Linked DNA regions of Arabidopsis thaliana. The protein of the gene in region 3 interacts with the protein of the main gene of each other region in a pairwise test. Each region holds a gene or a part of one and is shown on either strand. Other genes may lie near its edges.

Region 1 (4,950 bases), on a different chromosome or scaffold from region 3:
CCGCTCAAGTGACTTGATAACTTTCGCCAAAGTCCATAAAGTCTTTGGAGCCAGCAACGTCAGTAAGCTTCTCGGTGAAGTTCCTGAAGAACAGAGACAAGAAACCGTTAACTCCTTGGCTTATGAAGCTGAGGTTCGTCTCAAGGATCCTGTTTACGGTTGCATTGGAGCCATAGCGTCTCTGCAGAAGAAGATGCTCGAGCTTCAACACGATCTAGCTGTTGCTCGCACTCGACTACTTGCCCATTCTGGGGTCAACAACAGCCAAGTGTCCCCTTTGGATGATTCTCCTGAGCTTGCTGCTTTTCTTGATCTTGTACCTTATAGTGACTTGATGTTGCTTGATGGGTCTACTAATCTTGATGCTTACTTGTATGATCTTGGACAGCCTCCTTTTGTATAGGCCTTATCTCTCTATCATATATCTCTTTATCAGCTGTATTTGCACTTTGCTTTACAAGTTATCTTTGACAATCTAAAGTCTGTCCCTAATGTATGAATTCCAGTATGCATAATCAGATGCTTACTTCATCATATGTATGAAAAAGGGTTTTAACTTCAAAAGTAACCATCACATGCGATGAGATAACTCAGGTACAAGATGAGCCTTGGAAGGTCAGAGTCCTTACCAGTTTTGGACCAAGTGGTAGGCCAAGGTGAGTAAAGTGAGGTGTTTTAGATGAAGAGCTTCTTTGTAAGTCAGGTATGAATAGGAGAGCACATGCTTATGTCATCCCGAAATTCTACCAAACATGAAACATTGATATATATGCTTCTATGATGTTCTTTTTTGAGGCTCCAATAATACAGCCTCATGTGTCAACTCGTCTCCCTCAGGCCACAAGAGTCTTGTCCTGGAGATTCCAGAGTGCAGCAAAGTCACATAAGCAAACATCCAAATCAATAGCTTGGTGGGTTTGATCAAATTCCAAACTGAATTATGAATGACTCTGATAAGAGTTCTCCTCAGAACCGTTCTACGCATCTTGTTAAGTCTGTACACATTCCTGAAACCTGCCTAAGCAAAAGAGTAATTGCAGATCACAGAAAGAGAGATGAGCACAATTTGGAACTGCAGACACTGATACACAAACCATCATACATTGATACTTCACAAAAGTACATCTTGATATGTCAGATACTATGAGAGTTCTTTTGGTAATTCGCATTGCTACTACCAATGTAACTCTACAATGCTAAAAAAGAGAATGAAAAAGAAGAAGAAGAAAAAAAGCATCGCGCTATAACTTAAGAAAACCTAAAGATCAATAATAATAACATCTTCTCCAAATCGTATGAGCTTTAGATCCAACCATTGCTCCTTGCTTCACATCAGTAACTCCTCCACAATCTACAATCCTACAACTTCTTACCTATACAACAAACAAAGCACAACTGAAGTTTCAGTAAACTCATCAATCACAACAAAACACACATAAAAATGAAAACTTTACCTGAAGCAGCTCTTCGTTTCCCAAGTTTAGATTTCTCAAGCTCCAATTGCATCTCCATCAACATATTCATTCGTTGTAACTCAAGCTCCTTTGCAACTTCCATTCTCTGTTTCTCCAATTCAATCATCATCTGTTGCTTCTTCCCCTCGATTCTCTCAAACGCTTCCCCTAACTTCAGAATCGATCTCGCTAGCTCCCTAAAGGCTGATCCTTCACTCGAATCTACATCTTCAACTTTACGATGCTTCCTCACCACAAATCCCCAATCACCCGCATCATCATCATCTTCTTCGTCGTCATCATCATCATCATCATCGTCATCGAGAGAGCTACCAGTTGATTTAGATCCAGTAGGATTCAAATTAGGGTTCATCAACGCCGATTTAACAACAGCACCGGACGATTTCTTCATAACCGGACCGATTAAGAAATCGAGTCTATCAAAGAAGCACCAATTCGATAAAGGTTTCGCCTTTTCAGTTTTGTACTTCTTCTTCAACGTATCGATCCGGTTTTTGCACTGTACATCGGTCTTTGGCCGGCCATTCCCGTGGCTTGAATTGACGGCGTCGGCGACTTCTTTCCAATCGTTTTGCCGGAGATTTCCCCGGTTGAGATTGACGTAACGATCTCCCCAAGCTTCGATCAATGTCGCCGTAGCGTCTTCGCTCCACCAATCCTCTCTTCCCGCCGGTAGACGGTGAGTCTTCGACTGAGTCTCCGGCGTCGTCTCCATCTCGGAGTGGGAAAGAGAGGAGGCTAACGTGCGCGGTGGAGAAAGAGGCTTAGGATAAGAATTTCTGTTGGATCGGATTTTTGGTAAAGTTAAAAGAGAAATTACGGTTAAAGGAGAGATTTTTGATTACCGGCGGTGACGTCAGCAACGGCGATTATCTTCTTTCTCCTACCTCTCTCTTTTTCCTCTGCTAACCGAATCAATCACACTCATTTCTGAAAAACCGGTTATCGAAAACGGTTATCGAAAACCGGTTTAATCATAAATTGAGAGTCCTACTAACTAGGCTACTACTAGTTATAGTCAATTTCAAGCTTCTTTTAATGCGTTTCTACGGGTAATGATGATAAGATTACATTATTAAACTCATAGACTGATTGATAATAACGATTAGGGCTAGAATCTCATCAGTTCATGTCATTATAGGAAATCTTATAACGTGTATTTTTGTGTATTCTAGGAAAGACAGTAAATATGAGGTTGTATTAGTTTTGGTAGTGGTTTTTAAAAGTCATAATTGGAAAGAAAGAAATGTTATCAGAATATTAAGAAAATTTATACGTTTTGTGTATTCCAGTAACAAGATCATTTACGTTACGCCGTAACAAATTGAAGTTTGGAAGTGAAAAATGGTGGGATGTAATTAAGGAAATAGGTAAGCAGGCGAATTGTTAGGTAATAAGAGAGAGCATCGCAAACGTGTTAGGTCGTAGACTCTATGTCTATAATGTATGTTTCGTGCCGTGTCTTGTCTAATTGTCTTTTTGCTGTCTCGCCAATTGATATGTTAGTCCATGCCTAACTACTACTGTTTCCTCATAACTACTAAAATGTCGCTGAAATATTTGAAAAAAGAGCTGAGGTGTTTTTTCTGTCGATCAAAGTTTCCACGATGGTCTTGGTGAAGAGCTAGTAGAAATAAGCATATAGTTAGTGATGTTAACTTGGGCATTGAATAGCCATTTGTTAAATGGGTATGTGCAAAAAAAAATAACCCATTTAAACCCATTTAGAGAAAAATATCAAATGGGGTTAAATGGGTTACCCCAATTAAACCTATTTAATAAATGGGTTTACCCACAAACAAATGGGTACCCATTTATGTTTTATTTTATATTAGTTATTTTTATTAAAAAGTAGATAACTTAATTATAACTAAAATAAAGAGCAAAATACTAAATATATTTAAAACAAAACGTAAAATCACGTTTTTCCGCTAAAACCCATAAAATTACGTTTTCCCACCAAAATCACGTTTTTTACCAAAATCGAAAATCACATTTTCCCACCAAAATCGTAAACCGACGTTTTTCCGCCAAAATCGTAAAATCACGTTTTCCCGCCAAAACTGTAAAATGACGTTTTCCCACCAAAATTGAAAATCACGTATTTTCGCCAAACCCGTAAAATCACGTTTACCCGCCAAAATCGTAAAATCACGTTTTCCCGCCAAAATCGTAAAATCACGTTTTCCCGCCAAAACCGTAAAATCACGTTTTCCCGCCAAAATCACAAAAAGTGTTTTCCGCCAAAACCGTAAAATCACGTATTTCCGCCAAAACCGTAAACGACATTTTCCCGTAAAACCGTAAAATCAAGTTTTCCCGCCAAAATCACAAAAAAAAATATTTTTTGCCAAATTTGAAAATATTATTATCATTATATGTTATTGAAATCTATATTTTAGTAAATTATAAATATTTCAGATTTAGCTAATGTTTATGGACTGTTGTTATTTATCTATTAAGTTTATGAATTAATTAATAAAAGGCAATATCTCACTTAATTGGTTTAAATGGGTTCACATGGATTTACTAAATTTAAATGGGTAGGGTTAAATGGGTTTCAAAAATAAATGGATTTATATGAGTTTAAAGTTAAATGGAGTGGGTTTAAATGGGATGGGTTTAATTGGGGTGGGTTAGCCCATATTAACATCACTACATATAGTTTTCTAAACTAAATATGTCATTATCATCATTTACTGGTTTACATGCATCTTTTATACATTTCAAACTTTCTTATGAAAACGCAGATGTGAAAAGATAAATCATGATTTACAGGTTATCAAAGTGATGTGAGTTGGAACGTAAAACAATTTAGTTTGTCAACTGAATCTTAGACGCAATCGATTATTGTTACTCTTAAATCACTTTACAATAATATCAAATATCACATCCTGCAGCCAAGTAATCGAGCTAATCCATGATCAAGTATAGGTGGTGAAGCAACTAAAAATGTAGCCAATTTCGTTTGTACGCATAATTAAACAATGCTATTTATTTTAGTATGTTGCTACTTGCCAGTTGCTACCATTGGGATCTCGAAAACACACAAACGTACGTGCATGTTGCCTAATATAGTCTTTATTATTGTTCCTAAACTAATTAAGACAAATTAAAACAATATATAAAGTAACAAAAAAAAATCCCACTTTCCTTCAAACTTGAGTCTTGCTTGTACAGACAGTTGTACTACTTGTGGAAGCTGTTTAACTCAAATTAATATTCTCTTTCTGTTATTTTATTTAAGGAAATACAATCACGTGACTGAGATTAGCACTAGTATACTATATATATACATCACGACGCTGTTTTTATACATACTATATATCAACGGCCAGAATTAAGTAAGTAACCATCCATCGCCAACCGGAAAATGACGTCATCTTCACCGTCTCCACAAGCCTCGATGCTTTTGTACTGGCACGAGAATCAATACGACGACCGGAACTTCCAGATTCATGGCCGGACACTCTTC
Region 2 (5,330 bases), on a different chromosome or scaffold from region 3:
ACTTATAAATTAAAAATTGAAAAGTTTACATTAATTATTTAATAGACACATGATAAATGTTAAAGTGATGATGTATCGATCATATGTAAAGAGTTGGATAATTTATATATATATATATATATATATATATATTTTATATTGTTATAGTGCTATAATGCTATGTCAATCTTGAAGGAGATAAAAATATATTTGAATAAAATGACGTTTCAATAACAAAATAATAGTAATGGCAATCAATAAACTATGTCAGTTAATTGAATTTTTATCTTCCACGAAATACGCAATACGCAATTCATTATTGATGTTTTACTGAAATCGAGTGATAAACTATAGGCATAAAAAATTATACTACTATAAAACAACAAGTGAAAATGTTACATTTAATATTACAATAAATGAAACATGTGATATCACAAGGAACAACAACATCTTAAAATCGTAACTCCATTTTGATGCATGACATATTTTATCCCATATCACATTACACGACTTGCAATATGCCAAGAAGTCACATAAAGTAAATGCACATAATTGTTCAAATAAAAGAAAAGGTCCATAAATGAGTTTACTAGTACACCAACCAAACATTTACTCAACCTAATACGTCATACATATTAGGACTTGACTTACACTCGCCAGGACAATCTCCAACTCTCTCCATTGATAGAAATCGTAATTTATTGCTCTCTTTGTTTTCCGTGCAATTTATTTTTCGATCATGAGAATGAAAATATTTTTTCAAACTAGAAAACAAAATAATAGAATCAAAGCAAGACCGGATGTTTAAAAAACAAGACAAATCAAAAAAAAATATTTTGTTAAATCAAAACAACGACAAAAAAGAAACAAGACAAATCAAAACAAGACCGGCGTAAGATTTAGGTAACTAGTATTAATTTTGTTATGGACTTTGTATGATACACTTCCTTTAATAAATATCAGAATTCAAAAAACAAAAACAAAAAGAGTTACCTATGAGAATCTAAAATTCTGCTACTCACATAAATAGTAAACGTGACAAATGATATCACGAACTACAAAGTCTAATGATTCGAAGTAAATAATAACAGTGCACATCCCAATGCATTGGTTAAATCGCCAAGAATTTTCTTAAACATACATTATAAGAAAACATCAAAAACTTATCTTACACGCTCCAAAACCAAGATTATAGGTACCCTAATAAAACACATGTTTATAAAGCTACCTAAACAATGATTAGCCGAGAAAGGAGAAAACATTAACCATACGATAAGAAAGTACTTAATTAATTAAGTAATCACATGAGTGAAGTTATATAACAACAATCTGAACTTAACTAAGGATTAGTAGAAGCAAGATTTTCAGTAATGTCGTTATTACCAGCAGAAAGGTCGACATTGTTACTAACGTTGTTGCTCTTCTTGGAGAGATTTTGTTTGTTGTTGTGCATCCAAACTTTAAGAACTCTTCTCCTAATTCCAATCTCTTGACAAAGCTGTTGAACAACAGATTCCTCTTGTCTCTGAATCTTCCAACCAACTCTTTCCGCAAAACTAATCATCTTCTCCTTTTGCTCTTGTGTAAACTTTGTCCTAAACCTTTTCTTCTGATTATGTCCGTAACTATACGGTGATGGTGGTGGTGGTGGCTGCCGGAATGTCAAGCTTCCTCCGCCTTCTTCCTCCATAAGATCCTCTGACTCTGAGTTGGATCCAGCGGTTGTAACGCCAATAGGCATTATCATTTGTTGTGGTAATGGTGATTTGATCATCTTGTGGTGGAACATGAGTTTTCTCTGCTGCGGAGGTGGTTGGTGGTGGTTGAGGTAAGGGGAAAAGAATGTTTTCTCTTCACCTTCGGTTTCTCTTCTATGAAAGTTTCTATGGCAGTTGCAAACTGAGCAAGTGAGAGCTTCAATGGAACCTTCTTCACCACTTGGCATAAACTCTCCACAACCATCAATGGCATTGCCTCCCATGGTAGCTGCATGGTTCTTTAGGCATTCCTTGTACTTTATCACCACAGGCTTCTCTTTCTTGATGTTGGTAACCATGATGTTGTAACCCACATGATGATGATGAGAATGATCATGATTTTTACCAAGACCATTACTATTTGAGGAGACTAGTAGTGGGTTTGAAGTAGTAATGTTGAGAGATGATGGTGCAGAATTGGCATGATGATGATGGTTCATGTTCCCATGCCCACCTCCACTATTACCATAACTAGTGTTTATTGGAATAGGATCTTCTTGACTTGCAATCTCCATTCTTTTGATCTATCTGCCAAGGAAATAAACACGATTTTATATTTAAAACTTTTTTTGGGTTTTGCAAAGTGTTTCTTGGTTTGGGGACAAAGAAACTAGTTAGGAAGAAAAAAACAAGAGTAAAGATAATTAATGAGTAAAATTCAAATGATTAAGCTACAAAAAGGCAAGAGCTTTCTTCACTACTCATTAACCCCATTTTTTTAATTATTTCCTCCAAACAAAAAGAAAAACCCTAATTTTAGAAGGTCCATAAAGATAGAGAACAAAACGAAAAAGTACAAAAGAAAAGAAAAACTTATTGCAAGCCTGCTTAAGCAAAAGCTGACAAACCCACTTGAGAAAGAAAGGTCTTATTCCAAGTGAGAGGTTGATGATAATCAAGAAGACAATCTTTATTGTATCACCAAAACAAAATTGTTCTATTTAAACCAAATGAAAAAATTGACTGAAGAAGTTAAGAGCACATACCCACAACCAGAAAGAGCAGCAAACTTTATCTCAAAATGAAACCTTTCTTGAGAATAACCACAAGGTTCTGAGAATAGAGAGAGGCTAAGGAGTTTAGAGATTTAATTAGGGTTTTATAAAGTGATAGACTTTGAAGAAAGAAGATAAAGAGAGAGAGAGAGAGAGAGAGAAAGAGAGAATTGCAGGTGGGTTTTGGATGTGAAGGCACTTCTTAAACTAAGGGCTTAGAGTATTAGTAGTGAAAGCCAATAAAGCATGAGAAAGACACATGAGAGCCATAGCCATAGCTAATTATTTCCTCACTTTTCTACAGACAAAGAGAAAAAAGATCATTAATTAATTACACCTAGTTTTCATTTTATTAATTCATATATAGGATATTTTATTCAATAATGTCTCTACCAAATTAAAATTTGGGTGATAATATATAGACAAAAACAATACAATTGTGATCAAAATATGGAAAAGAAAAAGTGTAGCTAAATTATTTGAAACAAAAAAAGCTACATCATTTAATTTAAAATTTGAAGAAACAACAACAATCACTAAATTAGACTTTATAAGATAAGTAGTTATTCATTTTTATATACATTTTTACTCATGAAATGTCATTTTATAATATTGATATATCGCAGTCATTGATGAATTGAAGGTTATATTGAATATAAGACCATCCTCATTCTTCATTGGTGATACTTTGAGGGTGTCTTTAAATTAAAAATAATAGAAAAAGATAATTTAATGTTTTTAATTGTGTAATAGTGTCTTTAGAAAGACATTTTAGATCTCTAAAATAGAAGCTGTCTTTAATTTAATTTTAATTTATTTTTGAGATATCTACAAAGGTATGAGTAATGTGGATGCTCTAAGATTTTCATATTCACCCAAAACAAATTATCAGTAAAGGGAAAGAAAAAAAAGAAGAGAGCCAAGAATTAGGATTATGGGAGATTGCTTGTCTTGCACTATCAGACATCAAATTTACAACAGTGTAGAAACGTGTCAGATAATTAGTGGGAAGAGTATTGAAGTAGATAACAAAGAGAAAGTCATAATAAATAACAATATCTCATCTTTGTTCCAAAACATTAAATAACTAAAAATTTGGTAGTAAGGTATAATAATAATATTTTTTACCATCTTAAAATTTAAAAGTGTGAGATTGATACTAATTCAAAACGAAAGAATGTTCTAAACATTACTATAAAGCCTTAACTTGTTAAGCTAGTTAATTAAAAACACATATTGTTCCTTTACCCTTCGGCCTTCGCCATTAATTATGTCACGTATGATATTAGCTTCAAGAGGTTGTCATGTCATGCTTGTGAATTTATATGATTTACTTGAAGTTACTATTAATTATTGGTCCTACCAAATATGTGCACTTATATACCATGATCATCCGTTTTCTGGAACATACAATTGTGAGAAAGAATCAAAAGATAAACAATAAAATAAAAATATCATAATCAACTGATAATATAGTTACTGAAATATATTCATAAACCAAAGTTTGTTACGAGTTTTGTTAAGACCAAAATCTCGATTATTATTAAGTTTTGATAATATAAAGTTTTTGGTTTATATTGCGGGCTATCAGTGTTGTAAAATTAGACTCTATGTTATAGATGATATATGAACAATTGCTCTTGGGTGGCAGAATTGTAAATTTTGGCCTAAAAGTATATATAGTAAGTCTTGGTAAATAGATTTTTTTTATTGCTTTACATTTTCGACTTAATTATCACTAATCCCTATTTTTATATTTCTTTAAAATCAAACAAATGAAAACATCAAATCACCAATACATATTAAGATTTTACCTGAAAACTATTACTTTCTTGCTTAAGATTATTATTTCTGCTTCTTGATGACTAATGTTTTAAGATATATTTTTCTTTTTGACGGTCAAAAAATATGTTTCATTTTCATGTTTTGACCTTTTAGGTATAATTGTTCTAATCGACAAACTTAATTCGTTTTAGAAAAGTTCTAACAAACACGACAAGTTGTTGTCTCAACTACGGTGGCGGTTGTTCCTCTAGGTGAGTGGGGACTAATCTCATTTTTATTGATTCGTAAAAGAAGCACTAACTACCAAATTGCGGCAATTGCTAATGACCATTCAAGTCTTAATTACACAAAACACAATTAAGAAATAAGAGCAGTTCACTTTCTTAGTTTATAATTTCCTTGTGACCTTGTGGGCTTTTATTTTATAATACAAAAAAAACAAAAATTGAGATACTTTTATCTTTTTCTTTTGTTTTCTTCTTGTTTCTATGTGTTGTCTATTCTTCTGGACTCTGGTAAAATTCCTTCCATTGTAGCAGCTTTTTCAAAAACAACTCTTTTATTTTCTTTGTACCTTACGGTTTACGATATCATCAGAATAATGGCAAATAAATGCATACTCCATATAATTTAATTTAATTTCCCGTCGTCCATACTATGTATTTATTCACACGTCAAGTGACTTTTATTCGAGGTGATGTAAAAAAAAAAGCGACTTGTATTCGAGGTATAAGAAACAAATAAAATAAAAGGGACCACAAGAATATTTTTCAAATTATTCAATTATTAAGAAAAAACATAATTAATGAAAATG
Region 3 (7,453 bases):
CTAGTCATCGAATGAGGCCGTTGGACTGTAAATAAAAAAGGTAAAGCCCATCCCAACTTTTATTTCTTAATTAAAATTTTGGAATATGATTAAGAAAGGAATATTTCATTATTCTTTCCAAAATAGCAAAATGAGATTGTATGTTTAGGTTTTTTGAAAACAAATAAAATTTGAAAGTCTTCGTATATGGACATATATCTGACCAAAATCAAATATCTGTGTATTTTTCAAAAAAAAAAAATATCGTAAATAAATATAATAAAAAAAAATAAAGGTAAACTATGTGATAGCTTACTTTAAAAAATTTGACAGTCGTATGAGGTATTGAGGTTGTATCTGTTTATTTTGATAATTTTTATAAAGTTTGACTCAAATTTTAAGTTTTATCAAAAAAGGAACCAATGATTTGTTAGGAATTGGATAATTAAGGAAATTAAAACATTCCAATTTTGTAAGAATATCAAAGATCAAAAAATTAGTTCAAAATTTGTGAGTACACTATCATCTGAAAACTTTAGTGATTGATTCTTACATGTAGTATCCTATATTAACTCATATCTGTTTCTTGTTATTGAAGTAAAGTCCTCAACTATTCCTTACTAGCATTGTCCATACAAAAACAAATTTTATATCCTCGATTGTGATAGTCAATTCAAAAACATAAACTAAATACTGTTTTAATGAGACGAAACCTCACAAAAAGATGACGAATGGTTTGATTTTACAAAGGCGAAAGGTAGAATATGGTTTAAAGGGATATAGTAAGGAGAGAAGATTTCATCAAGAGGATGTGATCAATCAGATGAGACCTTGGCGTTGAAGATCAGAGTAAGTCTTCTTGTTGTAAATGTTACCTTCACGATCTTCATATTCTTCTTCAAGTTCTGGCCTCCATTTGTTCACTCCTTGCCTCTCCTGTATCCTCTTCCACAATTCTTTGGCTTCCTGAAACAAACCAAACAACAACAAGATCAAATTACCAAACTATTTACTACTTTAAGCTGTACAAAGTCTTTGATCATATTATATTATTACCTCAATCGAAGTGATTTCGTTGAAGTTCTTTGTGTTTGGGATTCCTAGGCAACGCATTCCGTGTTGGTGTCGCCATTCTTTAAAATGTCTCTCAAAAGCCCTTCTTCCCCAATAGCTATAGTTCCCACATATCTCGCATTTAAACTCCTGCGTAATAACAAGAAATTTAATGTGAATCTATGTTCCTTTGATACAACAATGGTCTCATAAATAAACTACATACCTGGCCAAGGCCATGAAGTTTGTAGAGCCAGTATGGTATAGGCTTCCCATCCCAACCTATTGGTAGCTTCAGCGGATTGTAAATCAAACCGTCCTCGTCATCACTTTCTAATTCGGTATTAGCTTCCTCCCCTTCACGTTCTCCCTCCATTTCTTCATATGTCAACGACTGTTTCTTTACAATGTTTTGTTTTGTCCTTTCGATGGTCTATAAAAGGTGACAACAAGAAAAGTTAACAGAAAAAGTACAACTAGATATCTGGGAGGGGGAAAAAAATGTCACTATGAGCTTTCAATCAACTAACCTCATCAAGTAAATTGCAGAGTTTCTTCACTTTGGCCTCTGTTAGTGCAATCTCTTTAGCATTTTCAGACTCATGTGTTGATTTGGCATCTCCGTTTTGTTTTCCGTTGTGTGGAGGTCTGGCAAAATGTTTCTTATCCAGCTTTTCCAAAGGCGTATGCTGTACAAAAATTGAATTAATTAAGGGAATTAGATAACCTCAAGGTAATAAGAAAAGCTTCAAATAGAATTCAATCCCTACAAAACATGAACTATGACAACAAAAGCCTTAGTTTCATATTAGAAGAAGAGCTGAGCTGAACTACCAAACTAGGTTTCATAACAGCTAAATGTTCCTTCCAAACCCAGTAAGAACAACAAGAACGCGGCTACTAATTGATAAAAGTACCCTCTCATAAGACGAAACTTAAAGAAATAGGAGATTATATAGCAAGTGTAAAAACCTTTGTCAGGAAAAGTCTCTCGGCACGCTGCTGCGGAGTACCACCAACCTTCAGTCCTAATGCCCCCAATGCCTGAATGGCATACAAAGAACATATGATTAGGGGAATATGCTTCAAAAAGGATATTAACATGAAGTAGTATGGTCATTACCTCTTTTAGCTTTTCAGGTCCTACATCTACCAGTTCCTCGACTGTACTGTAGTAATCAAGATCTATGACAGTATGCTGAGATGGAATAAGTTCATTATCCAGGCCTTCTACTATTCCATCTGCATATTGCTCTTCAAAATCAGAACAAACCTGTAAAAGAACCAAACATATTAATCGCAACAGATCAAACAATAGGCACAGCATTGGCCAAACTAGAACTACCAGAATGTCAAACTATAACATGGTTCAAAACCTTCCGAGGATATACAATCTCTGCACTTAGAGCAAACTATGCACCAATGAATATTGAATACAACCATCTAGTTATGGCCATTTATTTTCCAAAATTATGTATTATCTCCAGGGGGATGAAAGACTCACAAAGCAACCAGTTGTTAGAACTAAGGAAATCAAATCCAAAGTTCTACACTTAATACTTGGGAAACTAGTAGAAACTTCTTAAGCACGAATAAATATACCAGTTATGTACTAATGCATAGTTCGAAACGCCCATAAAATTTCATAAGGCAACAAGGTAAACGCAATAAAATGATAAAGAAAGGGAGGAGCTTAAACCTTAGAAAGTATCCGGTCAAGATCTTGCAACGGCTCGGTTCGCTGGAAGAAGTAGACCAGGTACTCAAGTAGAGCTTCCATATACTTCATGTATTGCCTAAAATGAAAAATAGCAATACAAAAAGGAAAGCCATTCAGCTGCAGCTAGAAAAATAATTGGAGGCTTTCTAAGTAAAAGAAAATTCCAATGAAGTGTTTACCTCGATAACTTCAGTTTACGCGGTATTTTCTCTGGTTGAGAAAAAACATCAAGGTAAGCAGAATATTCAACCCTTTCCCCAAATTTAGAGTTGATGTACTGGTTATACATATCATGCAAGTCCAAGTACCGACCATTGCCTTCCTGCGTAACAGACAAGAAGATTTAAGTATTGACAATAAAAAAGGGGCTTACAAACTGTTAAAAAATGCGTCAACAAATAGCAACAATAAAAAGTCAAGCAGAAACCTACCTCTCCACTGAACGCAATAATTGGTTCCTCCTTCAGGCGTGCTTCGTAGTCTTCATTAGCATCAACAAGACGTCCAGAAGGATGCCTTTTATGATATTCACGTATCTGTAAGTTTATAAAAGAAGTTAAATAGTTGCAGCTCTGATGCTTTCATCAGTGGTACAAGAAAATCAAATAATTCAGACAATAAAAAAAAAACGAATTAGCAATTTGAATCTTATTCAGGGTGTCCTCATGAAAATTTCACCGCCTTAATACTCTTATGCAAAGCAAGCCTTATACAGCTAACCAAATTGTTGATGGAACAGAACTAATACACTTTCACTGAGATTTTGTACATAATTCTTGATTCTCCATCACAGTGGTTCAAGGCAATCAATAAAACTATTTTTTTTTAAAAGATCAACAGCTAAATAACAATGTCTAGATTAACTAATAGTCCGGTAAAGTTAGCTGCTCAATCTCTAATATACAACCCACAGAAACTAAAGTAAAGCCAAGTCTTGGTATAGAGAACCATAGGCAAGTTTTAGGGAAAAAAGACCAAGGAAGGTGCAAAGGATAAAGAACAAACCTCTTTCAAACGATCGTAAAATTCACTAAACACATTTGTCCCTGTCGCAGTCTGGCCACCAAGCGCTGCAATCTCATCATCCCACGCCCCATCCTTATCTTCATAGGTTTCAACCTTACAACAAACAAGAATCAAGGTTAGCATTAATCCAAGTTTGAGTTAATTATCAACAACAAAAATTAACTCAAATTTGTGAAATAACACTGAAGCATGCTTAGCTCAAAACTTAGAATCCCTACATACACACTTAAGACCCCAACTATAACCTATATTCAACACCAATCTCTGAAGTTTCTTCTCAATTTAACACCCAAGCCAGAGTGATTCAAAGCTAACTTAAACCCCACAATGATAACCTAAAAAGCTAAAGCAATTAACAGAAAAAGAGGCAACACTCAACACGAACCTGTTATTTAAAAAAAAATCAGCAACCCAAGTTTCTCTGCTCTGATCTAACGTATTCAAAAGAGAAGAGACATAAAAACATATGCGGGAAATAGAAAAGAAGATTAAAAATTGACGAGAAGAAGAGAGAAAGCGTACAAGTTTCTCAGTGGTGAGCATAATAGACTCAATCATGTGACGAACACGATGTCCCTGGACCAATCTGTCCTTGCTGGACGGTGGCTCCTTCTGTAGATCTTCCACAACCAATCGCTCCAACCTTTCAACCTCTTCGTGATTGGAGCGAGTTTGCTCGAGGAGAGTCGACGACATTTTCTCTGTCTTCGAAGCTTTGAAATCTCCTTCTTCGCCGGAGTCTAAACCCTAAATTCCAGTCACTTTTCTTTTCCTCAATCCGAAATCTCGCCAGTAAAATTTTTAACGCCAATCCGAGAGAAAAAGATAATCGGGTGGTTTTTGTTGTGGTTTGGGTCGTTTAAGCCGAACTATGTTTTGGGCCTTTTTAGACGGTTTGTGTTTTAGGCCTTTTTTTGACTGTTAGTGTTTTGGGCCTTTTTAGACTCTTTTTTTTCTTTTATATTTTATTATTATTTTACTTATTATAAAAAAATCTATAATATGGTAAAATACCATTTGGTAATTATTTTCTTTTAAGATCTATTCCATTTGGTAATTTATATATTTTTTATCTGATTGCAATCCTCTTTTAATGGGAATACTCAAACATTATGTGTTTGTTTGATATTGTACTATACTTCAATGGGTTCATTTGCAAAGATGTTAACGGAGAGAAGGTTGTACAGAAAAAAAATGGGCAGTTTACAACCATCCACTATGAATGGCTTTGATATTGGTAGCAAACTAACACAAAATCAAGTCATCATTGTCAAAGTTAAAGAGTTAACAAGCCATTTATTCACTCTTTTCAAATTGAATTCATGATATCTCACATGATATAAGATTTGCAAGCTATCTCCTAATAGTATTGAGGTTTGTTGAGATGACATCTTTAATAGATCAATGGAAAGAGCTATATTTGGTTGTTTTCCTCAGGAAAGAGCTATATAGGATGATCATATATTCATATTGAACCAACGATGGGCATTTTGGGGTAAGTATTGCCACCTGACAACAAAATAATAGCCAATCCCATAGACTAATCTTATGACTTCTGATATTGATTTATGTTTGTAAAACCAAAGGAAGATCTCCGAGTGGACATACAAAATTGAAATGTCGTTAACAATTCATATTTGGTATTATTTTTTTTATCTATAAACAATTTTCCATTATTAGTCACTTCCATGTCCAAGCTCAAGAATTCTGTTTCAGGTGTTGTCTTTGAAAGATAGTCCATGCCAACATCGTTTACATATCAGTATATCACTTACTTTACGGCAAACTAAGGCAAACCATATTTCGATTAGTTCATGAGTCGCTAATTGTAACTTAAGGATATCAAGGTTGGAAGTAATTCACTTTGAAACATCACCATTTCGTATGAGTTGATCTTCTTAATAAAAAGATAATAAATACAGAGAAGCAAATGAGAGTTCATCGTAAACACAGCAAACCAAATCAAGAAAACAAAGCAAATATGGTTATTCATTTCAAATGGTGGAATCAGAATATCAATAAGCAAAAACTGGTACATGGTTTGATTCACGTTTGAGTTATATGTTCCTCATTTTCCACTATTCCATCAAACCAAAACAAACAATAAAAACTCAAACAAAACTTTTGAAAAGCGGCGAAGTCAGAGATGTTAAATATGCCTCAAACAGTTTTAAGCTCATAATGAGGAAATTACCCCTCATTCGCACATCTAATTGGTTCATCATTCTCGCCGTTTCATTGCAAAACCAATAAAAACAATGTATCCTACCCGATTATATAGAACGAGATACTAAATGAACGAAATTAAAATCTGAAAATCCTCAAACGCAAAGATCTCTAGCAGATAAAAGAGATAAACACTTATATCTGAAGAGTCAGCGAGAGAGGACCTTAATTCCAGATCTAATGCCGATATAAAAAAACTCGACCTATAATAAATCAGGAAGGTAAAAACTGGGTTAGTTCTTAGGAGAACCCTAATCAAAAACCCTTAATAAATTTCGATTTAGCGCAGCAATGACTCGACACGCTTCCATTAAGCATTTGTGGAAGGCGATCTTAAGGGCTGCGCAACGATTTAAAAAAAAAACGATAAATACGAATAACACGATTTAGAACATAAGCCCTAATATCTAAGAATTGGGGGTTATAATCGAAGATGCATTGTATATATAGTGAAGACTTGTTTTACCCTAGTCGAAGAAGCTTATCCTCGTTTATTGACTATTGGGCTTTAAGCCCATGTTATTTTAAGCCTTATAGGCAAAACAAGACAGAAAACAAAAAGACCAGAATCGCCTTATTCATCAAGTTTTTTTCTTCTTACTTAAACCGAACCGAACCGAACCGAATTGGATTGAGCCATGCCGACACGGAGTTCTGCTCTATAACTTTAATTCGGCACGCAGTCTAAATACAGAGACACTATATGACAAACTCCTCCATCGCCGGTGGTCTGCACAGGGGAGGGGAAACAGCGATTCGAAAATGTCAGGTCGTGAAAGTTACCGTCTTCAGCACCGAGATCCATCTCAGACTTCATATTTTGATGTATTACCAACCTTGTTCATTAATCATAATTGGACATTGTTTCCTTCTATGATGTCGTTTTACATTTCACTCATTGTACTCTTTTCTTTGTATCTTGTTGCTAAAACAGACAACTTCTTAGCAAAATCTATCCTGAAAGAAGTTATTGTCCGTCAAGGTCTGATGTAACTCTCAAGCGATATGTACTGAATTCATGAAGTAATGGAATGTGGGAGTGTACTTTTCACTGAGGTACTCGAGAACTATCATAGATGGCTATACTTGCCATTAGAGTAGTGGCTTCTCAGCTTCTCTTGTTTTCATTCAGGTTTCTGACTCATATAAACCCGATTTCCCGCAACTTGATGCTCAGACAGAGCGTTAGTCTTTTGGAGAGCTTGCAATCATGCTGGAAAGAAGATGTTCTCGTTTTCTCTGCTGCTGGCAAATTTCTTCGCTTGACATTGCAGCTTCGTTCGAGGTTTGTGAAATTTGACTTTAATATTATCATCAATATTGATAGACATATATCTAGTGAAGATAACGTGAAAACTTGCTTGTTTTACCTTAATCGAAGAAGCTTTTTCACGTTTATGGACTTTAGGCCCATATCTTACGACATAATCACTTTGGAATTTTGGATAC

Evidence for each region.
Region 1: the proteins of ATO (region 3) and AT3G11100 interact in binary tests that used the Arabidopsis thaliana proteins (3 or more experiments, as listed by UniProt).
Region 2: the proteins of ATO (region 3) and HB21 interact in binary tests that used the Arabidopsis thaliana proteins (3 or more experiments, as listed by UniProt).

What each region holds. Positions count from the first base shown.
Region 1 is NC_003074.8:3,475,131-3,480,080, forward strand, and holds AT3G11100 (sequence-specific DNA binding transcription factor), read right to left. Parts: upstream 2,771-4,950; 5' UTR 2,191-2,770; coding exon 1,455-2,190; intron 1,374-1,454; coding exon 1,360-1,373; 3' UTR 1,057-1,359; downstream 1-1,056. Other genes in the region: LBD21 (LOB domain-containing protein 21), read left to right, coding at 1-403; AT3G11110 (RING/U-box superfamily protein), read left to right, coding at 4,849-4,950.
Region 2 is NC_003071.7:681,223-686,552, reverse strand, and holds HB21 (homeobox protein 21), read right to left. Parts: upstream 2,919-5,330; 5' UTR 2,723-2,918; intron 2,265-2,722; 5' UTR 2,252-2,264; coding exon 1,319-2,251; 3' UTR 1,057-1,318; downstream 1-1,056. UniProt on the Arabidopsis thaliana protein: Putative transcription factor.
Region 3 is NC_003076.8:1,861,825-1,869,277, forward strand, and holds ATO (splicing factor-like protein), read right to left. Parts: upstream 4,610-7,453; 5' UTR 4,475-4,609; coding exon 4,301-4,474; intron 3,872-4,300; coding exon 3,758-3,871; intron 3,289-3,757; coding exon 3,184-3,288; intron 3,075-3,183; coding exon 2,932-3,074; intron 2,829-2,931; coding exon 2,732-2,828; intron 2,306-2,731; coding exon 2,156-2,305; intron 2,077-2,155; coding exon 2,005-2,076; intron 1,722-2,004; coding exon 1,563-1,721; intron 1,466-1,562; coding exon 1,259-1,465; intron 1,183-1,258; coding exon 1,036-1,182; intron 946-1,035; coding exon 799-945; 3' UTR 501-798; downstream 1-500. UniProt on the Arabidopsis thaliana protein: Splicing factor homolog to SF3a60 that may be involved in pre-spliceosome formation. Is necessary for gametic cell fate determination.